Ovis aries: one gene and its partner. The protein of the gene in region 1 binds, or shares a complex with, the protein of each later gene. Links are inferred from orthologs where the notes say so. Each region holds a gene or a part of one and is shown on either strand. Other genes may lie near its edges.

What was found.
Region 2: TUBGCP2 (region 1) and tubulin gamma-2 chain share a complex: the UniProt entries of both Homo sapiens proteins name them as parts of the gamma-tubulin ring complex. The link is inferred for Ovis aries from reciprocal best matches to the Homo sapiens genes TUBGCP2 and TUBG2.

Annotation. Positions count from the first base shown.
Region 1 is NC_056075.1:51,124,589-51,129,081, forward strand, and holds the start of TUBGCP2 (gamma-tubulin complex component 2), read right to left. Parts: upstream 2,993-4,493; 5' UTR 2,459-2,992; exon of another isoform or gene 2,345-2,458; intron 2,299-2,344; exon of another isoform or gene 1,647-2,298; intron 415-1,646; 5' UTR 382-414; coding exon 232-381; intron 1-231. Other genes in the region: ZNF511 (zinc finger protein 511), read left to right, coding at 3,077-3,229, 3,480-3,553, 3,845-4,046, 4,193-4,317. UniProt on the Homo sapiens protein: Component of the gamma-tubulin ring complex (gTuRC) which mediates microtubule nucleation.
Region 2 is NC_056064.1:42,455,255-42,459,627, reverse strand, and holds the start of tubulin gamma-2 chain, read right to left. Parts: upstream 2,987-4,373; 5' UTR 2,746-2,986; coding exon 2,697-2,745; intron 2,387-2,696; coding exon 2,274-2,386; intron 2,075-2,273; coding exon 1,907-2,074; intron 1,606-1,906; coding exon 1,537-1,605; intron 1,026-1,536; coding exon 946-1,025; intron 880-945; exon of another isoform or gene 532-879; coding exon 405-531; exon of another isoform or gene 1-404. UniProt on the Homo sapiens protein: Tubulin is the major constituent of microtubules, protein filaments consisting of alpha- and beta-tubulin heterodimers. Gamma-tubulin is a key component of the gamma-tubulin ring complex (gTuRC) which mediates microtubule nucleation.

The DNA of each region.
Region 1 (4,493 bases):
CCTCACCCCACACAGCCCTGGGGGTCGGGACCACCTCACCCCACACAGCCCTAGGGGTCGGGACCGCCTCGCCCAGCGCAGCCCTGGGGGTCGGGACCGCCTCACCCAGCGCAGCCCTGGGGGTCCGGACCGCCTCGCCCAGCGCAGCCCTGGGGGTCCGGACCGCCTCGCCCAGCGCAGCCCTGGGGGTCGGGACCGCCTCGCCCAGCGCAGCCCTGGCGCGGCACTCACCTTGGCGCTATGTGCAGACACCGTGGTCGTGACGTACGGGGTCCTGTTCTTCTGCAGCAGGTCAATGTAGACCTCGGCACCATCCCCTCCGTGCACCCGCAGTAGGCTGAGCAGCTCATTGACATCATGGTGAATCCGAAATTCACTCATGATTTTGGCTCTGAGACATTACAACGTGTTCCCCTAAAGGTAAGAGACAAGCCATTTATAAAAACAAATCCCTACCTATAAACAAAGTTTAAAGCAATCAAAGTTGGCCAATGTCCGGTCTTGAGAAGGCAAACTGTCACATGAGCCAGCCTGCAGGCCCACAGCTTCCCCGGGCAGACCCCACTACAGCCTGCACTGACCAGCCTGGTGGGCCCACAGTGTCCCCGGGCAGACCCCACTACAGCCGGCACTGACCAGCCTGTGGGGCCCCTTCCTGGGGAGGCCCTTCCACGCCCCTGCTGGTGGGGGCTGTCTCAGTGGGCAGCTCTGGGGGAATCGGAGCCCTGACTCAGAGCCTCGGCAATTGCGGCCAGTGTCCGGGCTGCTCCCCTGCTGGGGGCTGGCATACACACAGAGAGCGGATGCGGGCTAAAGGCCTGGGCCTCCTTCCTCTGGGTGACTCCAGCCTCACAGGGCCCTGGGCCAGCGCGGAGCTGCTCCCTCAGCTGGCAGCCAGCACTTTCTGGCCCCAGCTGTACAGACACAGCAGCCCCTGCCCTTCAGGGGTCCTGATCACACAGGGAGCTCTGCACAGGCCTAAGCCACTTCCCGTCCTGGCTCCCGCCACGAGGCCCCAGCTGCCACTCTGGTAACCAAGATGCTGCCTCTGCTCGCCCAGGCCAGGTGTTCACATCCACCACGCACTGTAGCTGGGTGGGCTTCCCCTTCAGCCCCACCTGCCCTGTCAACCAGATGTCCAAACGTCTCCTCACTGGATATATAACCTTCCAGGCCAAAACGGTAAATGAGATCCCACCAAGCAGACAGTAGTGGCCTGCATGGGGACTTCTGTTCTCCCACTGATGATCGGTCCAGTTAGCCATTATTATTAACACTAAGACAACGGCGGACAACTAGATTCAAAAAACAAACATGAGCAGGCTTTACGTGCTTCGCATAAACGTCTGGACATACCTACGCAGGATTCATAACTTGGGATCATGTACCACAGGAGACCCTGGGAAATTACAGGCAAGATTATTTCTGATTTTTATGAGGAGGTCTTTCAACAGATCCTCAAACCCTCCGTGATCCTAAGAAGATTAGAACCACGGTGCCAACAGCTCCACTGAAGACAAGCTATGAGTGAGACATCAGCTGGGGGAGCCTCAGCACACATGCCCACAGCGCGCGTGTCGACTTGTAACCACACAGAGAGAGACTCTAACCCCAAGTGACGGAAAACAAGCTCCCTGTACAGGTACATCGGTCGTCAAACAGAGACATCCAGCGCTGGCCAGAGGCAGAGTATCTCCAGAAAGCCAACAGCAAGGGTGAGCTGGCACGTAAGTCACCAGCACGTGTACTTTTCACATCAGGAGGCGCTCACAGGACTACGGTCATGGGGCTGAGGCTGAACCCTGACTTGGGGCTTCCAGGCTGTAGGACCCTGCACAAAAAGCTTGCCCTCTGTAGGCTTCTTCCCAAGGAGAATGAGTACCAGACCCTACTCAGGAAGCTGTCGTGGAGACACAAGGCGGCACCTAAGAGTCTGCACTGTCGCTACCGAAGGAGCAGGAGTGAACACCGCTGCTGCTGCACACGGCCGATCACCGGAAACGGCTGTTACCTGAGGAAAAGAACACCGGCCGGGAAGCAGGGCCAGCAGCCTGAACCACGGCAACCTCGCGACCAGTCACAGAGCGCAGCGAGGCGGCGCTGGAGATGACAAGCGAACCAGAAGACACACAGAGCTCTCACGGGGCCTCTGCGACTCCAAGGGCTTCACCCACATTCTAAGAGGCTCCCAAGGCCTGGGGGTGTCCCGCAATAGCTGGCCCGAGGACCGCTTTGGACACGTGGATGCCAAGGACACTGCGTTTGCCCGCGGAAGAGACACAAGCGGGTGGACAGGGCTGCTGTGAAAAAAGCTCACGGAAGCAAACGTTTGTGTAAAAACTACCTTCGTGAACCCCCACACCTGCAGGAGAAAAGAGCGGACGTCCCACATCACAAGCACTGACGCTCCCAGGAGCCTGGGTTTGGGAACAGTTCCCGCGAGCTCTGCGGCTCTCACCGGCGGGCAGCACCGCCCTGAGAGGGCTTCCCGGCTGCGGCCTCGCTGGAAGGGCGCCCCTGACCCTCCCTGGGCAAGAGGCCGGGGGGCCACACTCCGACCGAGCCCCCTCCACAGCGCGGCAGCGCCCGCTCGACACCGCTCCGAGGAGCGTCTAGCGCATCTTGCTGACGCTCCCGAGTGCTTCTCCCTGCTGGCCGCCGCCCACGGACCCACAGACCCCGGCGACAGAGACTGGGCTGCCGGGCGCAGCAGAGCGACACAGCGAACCGCGGGTCTCCCGGAGACCGCTCGGGCTCCGTCCCGGAGACAAGGCCGGCGCGGAGGCCGCGCAGCCCTTCAGGCGGGAGGCGCGGCGGGGAGCGAGCGCGACGGCGACGAGGGCCGGAAGGAGCCTGCGGGGCTCGGGGCGGGGAGAGGGGCGCGAGCCACCCGCGGGAGGGCCGCCCCGAGGCCGACTCACCACGGCCGCGCGCCGAAGCCCGAACCCGAGCGCGCCAAGCCCGCGGCCCCGCCCGCGGCGGCGGCGGAAGTGCCGCGTGACGTCACGTCCGGCCCCGCCCCGGCCGGCTCGCGGACGGTGGCCCGCAGGCCGTGCGGCCGCCGGCGCGCAGGGCGATGCAGTTGCCGCCCGCGCTGCACGCCCGCCTGGCGGGGGCCCCTGGGGCGGCCGCGCCGCTGCCCGTGCAGCGGGACGCCCTGGCCGGGAACGCGCCCTTCCGCTTCGCGGCGCGCCAGGTCCGCTTCCCGCGAGAGCACGAGTTTTTCGAGGTGCGTGAGCCGAGGAAAGCGAAGGCGGTTGCGGGTGGGGGCGGAGCGGATCCCAGGTGGGCGGGGCCAATGCTCGGGGCGGGGCCCGGGTCCTGGGGGCGGGGCCCGGGTCCTGGGGGCGGGGCCCGGGTCCTGGGGGCGGGGCCCGGGTCCTGGGGGCGGGGCCTGGGTCTTGGGGGGCAGGGCTCGGGCCCGGGTCCTGGGGGCGCGGGCGGGCGGGGGTGCGAGCCCTCAGAGCTGTCTTCCGCAGGACGGGGACGTGCAGAGGCACCTCTACCTCCAGGATGTGATTACGCAGGTGGCTGCGGAGCCGGAGAGGCCCAGGTGAGCGCTGTGGCCCAGCTCAGGGCCCTTCTTGCCCACTCCTCACCCCTCCCTCTGCTCGCCCCGCCCTGGTGTCTGCTCGGGACCACCGACGAAGCCAGCATGGCTGGCCTCTCCACCAGCCTGCTTGTCCGTGAAGATGTATTTGTAATGAAGGCAGGGTTTGGGATCGCAAGAGAAAATCCGAAGCTTTATCAGCTTTATCCGAAGCCACTTAAGGGGAGTGGTGACAGGGAGCCTGGCGTCCTGGCCTCCGAGGAATTGCATCCCCACCAGGCGTTTTTCTGCCAGGGTGCCTGAGTTCACTTGTCAGGTGGCCGGCTGCTGCCAGGCGTTTGACGCCCTGGAGGACTACGAGCACCACTACCACACTCTGCACGGAAACGTCTGCTCCTACTGCAGGCGGGCCTTCCCCTCCGGTCACCTGCTGGACACCCACATCCAGGAGTGGCACGACTCACTGTTCCAGATCCTGGCCGAGCGGCAGGACATGGTGAGTGACGCTCGCCCCCTGAGGCCAAGGGCAGTCATCACGGGGCTTGTCCCCGAGCCGTGTGCCTCATGGTGCTGGAGCCTGGGGTCCAGACTGGGTGAGGCAGTGGTCCTAGGGTCAGGGTGGTGACACGGTTTCTGCTGTAGTACCAGTGCCTGGTGGAGGGCTGCACGGAGAAGTTCAGGACCAGCAGAGACCGGAAGCAGCACCTGGTGGCTCATCACCTCTACCCTGCGGACTTCCGCTTTGATAAACCGAGGAAGGGCAGCCGGTGCGTGTTGCTCGAGGAAGCCGCCCGCTGAGCCCAGCAGGCCTGGGAGCGTGCGGGCGCCCTCGCGCAGCACCCATCACCCAGCGTCCCATGCGGTTGTGCGTTAACCCTGTGAGGCAGGGGTTACTAACCGAGAGGGTTGAGCAGGTGGAGGCGGTGTTGTACGTGGCCAGTCT
Region 2 (4,373 bases), on another chromosome or scaffold:
GTTGGGGACCCCTGGTCTAGAGAAGGGAGACTGGCATTGAATATAAAACAACAGAAAAGTATAGTTACGCCTGAAATAAGCACAGAGGAATTTGACCTTGTCTGGGTGGTGAGGGAAGGTTTTGCTAAGAAAGTAACCATTAGGCTGAGAATGGAAACATGAGTAGGTATTAAATAGGCTAAGTGGAGACATGTGGGAGGGGGGTGTTACTTTGTTGAGAGTCCTGCTACCTAAAGGGACTATGAGAAGCTTGGGGTCAGGTTCTTATTTCATACTTTGGGCCACCAAGTATGGCTTTGTTGGTTGTCTGTTCTCTGGGCAAGGGCTTGGGAAGGGCAGAGTGTAGGTGTCTCACTGGTTTGGGGAGGTAGGCCAAAGGCCCCACTTCCTCCTCCCATGCTCACCACACAGTCAGCGTTCTGGGTCAGCCTCTTGAGTGTGAGCAGTGAGTTGTAGGGCTGGACCACCACATCGCTCATCTCGTCCTGGTTGGGAAACACTGAGTATGTCTGTACCAGCTTCTTGGGGTACCTGGGGGTGAGGAAGAGGGAAACGGGCAGGTAGCAGAGTGACTTGGAAGGACTCTCATCACTGCCCCTCTTTGTCTTCTCCAGGAATAACAGGGGCCGTTCCTTTCCAAGTGCCACCAAGGTCTTACACAAAAGGAGTGAGGGCAGAATGGAGTCTTTAGAGCCCAGAAGCCAAAAAAGATAAACCTGAAGCATCAAACCTCCCTCCCTCCTAGGTCCTCTCCCCCAGCTATGCAGACCCTCTGCTTCCTGGGAGTTATTGCTTCCAAGATGTTCCCTGGGAGGCCAGGCTCTGTTCCTACTTGTAACTCAAGGGCAGTAGTAATAGGGCTTTCAGCCAAAAGAAAAAGTGACAAAAGAAAAGACATTACCCAGGGAAACAGAGCTAATGCTCTCTTCCCAAACACAGGCTTACCTGTCATTCAATCGCTCCAAGAGGTAGGAGCCCAGGCCAGAACCGGTCCCCCCAGCGATGGAATGACACAGCACAAAGCCCTGCAGGGGAAGGAATGGAGAAGCAGTCTCCAGGGATCTGGGGGAGAGGCTTCTGGCTTGTCTCATGTCCCACTCCCAACCCTCTCAAGTCTCAGGGTTTCTTCTATATCCATCCAGTGTGAGGCTCCTTGAGAAGGAAGGAGCTGATGCCATCCAGATTAGGATCTTCTTGAGGACACAAACTGAACCTTATTTACTTCACCATCTCACATCTGATACTCAAGAGTTATGAATTAAATTGCCCCCATCACACATCTGATCAGGCTCTTTGTGACCCCATGGACAGTAGCCCATCAGGCTCCTTTGTCCATGGAATTCTCCAGGCAACAATAATGGAGTGGGTTACCATTCCTTTCTCCAGGGGATCTTCACGACCCAGGGATTTGAACCTGGGTCTCCTGCATTGCAGGCTGATTCCTTATCATCTGAGCGACCAGGGAGGCAACCTCCTGACTTCCCCCAGCACTTCTCAGCTTCCTCCCTCCTCTCCCCTAAAGGGGCAGAACCTCACCTCTAGGCTGTCACTTCCATCTGCTTCTCGGTCTATGATGTCAAAGATATCTTCATGGATTTTCTCACCCTGTATAGAGAGATGAGGAGGGAGGAGACACCTATAGAGACGTGAGGATGACGTTTCTGGAGAGCATCTCCTTTCGGCACCAGTAACTCTACCTTGGGACACTGCTGACACCTCAAGCAGAGCCCCGACTGTGGCCCTCACCCCAGAAATGCTACTTTGCATAAACTTCTCTATGTCTGTCCCTCTTATCAGGGTAGTCCCCTGTCTCTCACTGTCAGTATGGTCTAATCACCAGACTGCTTGTGCTTGCCTTACCCCAGGAAGGGAACATCAAGAATCTCCCGGATGGCCACCTGGATACCTGGGAGAATCCGCTGGCCCAGTTGTTGCCAGCTCCTCCTCCATGCTCTGACAGGTATATGTTCTCTGGGTTGTAGAGTTTGGCATAGGGGGAGTTGAGGATGGAGTGGATCACCCTGGGCTCCAGGTCCAGCAGCACTGCCCTCGGGATGTAGTGCTCATCGTCGGCCTGTCAAGAGGAGTCCAGAAGGGGCCCAATCAGCTCGGGCCTGCCCAGTCCTCCAGTCCTCCCAACTCTGGCTCCTGCCTGCCCTCCTCCTTCAAACCAGCCGCCCTGGCTCCTCTGCCCAGTGGGTTTCCCAGTACCCAAGCCCTTCCCTTCAGGCCTCGTGGGCCATTGCCAACCCTGGCTAAGTCGCTGGGGGCACCTGGTAGAAAAAGACGTCCTTGCGATCAGTGCCCTCGGTGGCGAACTCCTCCACGATGCCCTCGGGGCTGATACCATGCTCGGCGCACAGCTGTTTCCAGAACTCGAACCCAACTGGGGGATGGGGAGAGACGCCTGGGTCTGCTAAAGCCCTCTAGCAGAGGGCTTGGGAGCCCAGGGTGAGGCTCAGACACTGTCACACATTCCAGGGTGGGCCCAAGACGCCCGGATCTGGGCGACGTGACAGCTCAGGGTTAGAGGCATGTCTCTCGTGCTGGGTGTCATCATGCGCAGTAGGGCAGGGGGGTTATGGAACGGAAGCGGGGCGGGGGTGGGGTGGTGGTGTTGGAGGATGCCAAGCACTCGGGTGGGACCCGAAGGGGCAGAACCGGAGACTAGCTGGGCCCGGCTCTCGTTCGCTCACTCTGGTTGCCGCACTGGCCCAGCTGCAGGGTGATGATCTCCCGGGGCATCGCTCTTCAGATGAGGCCGCGCCAGCCTGGCCAGGCCGGGCAGGAGTCACGGCGGGGACGAATGCTTGGCAGCTGGGCGCGCAGGACGTGGGGAGCGCGCGCTCTCTTCTGCTTTTGACGCGGATGCTCGGTCTGCGCGTGTGCAGTGCGGGCCTCCTCTCGGCCGGCGGCCCGGGAGCCCAACCTGGGCATCATTTTCCCCCACAGCAGTTGCAGCTGGAATTCCGCACAGGCGCGGAGTGAGGCCACGCCCCCTCCTGCCCACCCGCCCCAGCTCTGCGCCTGCGCAGTGAGACGCGCCGGGACCGAGTGTGGGGGAAGGGAAGTGAGGGAGGGGACGTCCAGGTGTCTGGAATCACCGGCGCTCTGCCTTATAGGTAGGTGAGCGGCTCTGCCTGCTCTGATAGGTAGAGGGGCTGAATTCAAGCCAATTTTCGTCTTTTAAATTTCTATTTTTAAGTTATATGTATCCAACAAAATTTACCATTTTAACCATTTTAAATTACAATTTTGTGAGGTTAAGTACATGTACATTGTTCTGTAACGGTCTCCAGCGGTCACCTACAGAACTTTGGCACCTTCCCAAGCTCTTACCTGTTGAACAGTAACCTCGCCCTTATCACCATTCTGCTTTCCGTCTCAGTGAATTTGACTAAGTGCCTCATACAAGTGGGATAACACAGTATTTGTCCTTTTGTGTCTGGCTTGTTTCACTTAGGTAATGTTATCAAGGTTACTCCATGTTACAGCATGTATCATACTTTTATTCCTTGTTAAGGCTATATAATATTCCATGGTATGCATATACCACGTTTTGTGTTTTATCAGTCCATCTGTCAATGGACACTGCCGTGCTTCTACTTAATACTGCTAATGAACATGGGTGTAGAATATCTTGTTTGAGTGCCTACTTTCAATTCTGGGTATATGCCCAGAATCAGAATTGCTAGATCATGGCAGGATTGTGTTTCCTTTATTTGAGGACTTGCCATACTATTTCTCACAGTCGCTGCACCATTTCACATTCCCACAGCAATGCACATGAGTTCCAGTTTCTCCACATCTTTATCAACACTTGTTACTTTAAAAAAAACAAAACAAATAGGCCATCTAAATGAATGTGAGGTGATATCTCATTTTGGTTTCTATTTTATTTTAAAATTTAAAAAGTTTTAAACATGCAAGCATGATTTTGATTTTTTACTATATATTTTTTATTTTGAAATTTTACATAAATGGTATGAGTGTAATATTCTTTTGTATCTTGCTATTTTCACCCTACTTTAGCTTTAGTGATTTAGCTATGTTGATACATGTAGATTCATTTTGTTCCTTTTAACTGTTTTATAGTATTTAATTGGATGGATAAAAACAGTTTATTCTATTTCCACACAGGGGTGATTTGATTGTTTCCACTTATTTGGTGTTACATCAAATGCCTACAGGAGTTATCCACTTGTGAACCTGAAGAAAAGTATTTACCAAGAGCTTGTGCAGCTTCAACTTTACCAGGTTTGGCATATTTTTTCCTAGATGGTTGTACCAACTTGTACTTTTAACCAGCAATAGCATTTCCATTTCCCTATACTCAGTTCCACACTTGGGTTATCAGATCTTCATTTTTGTCA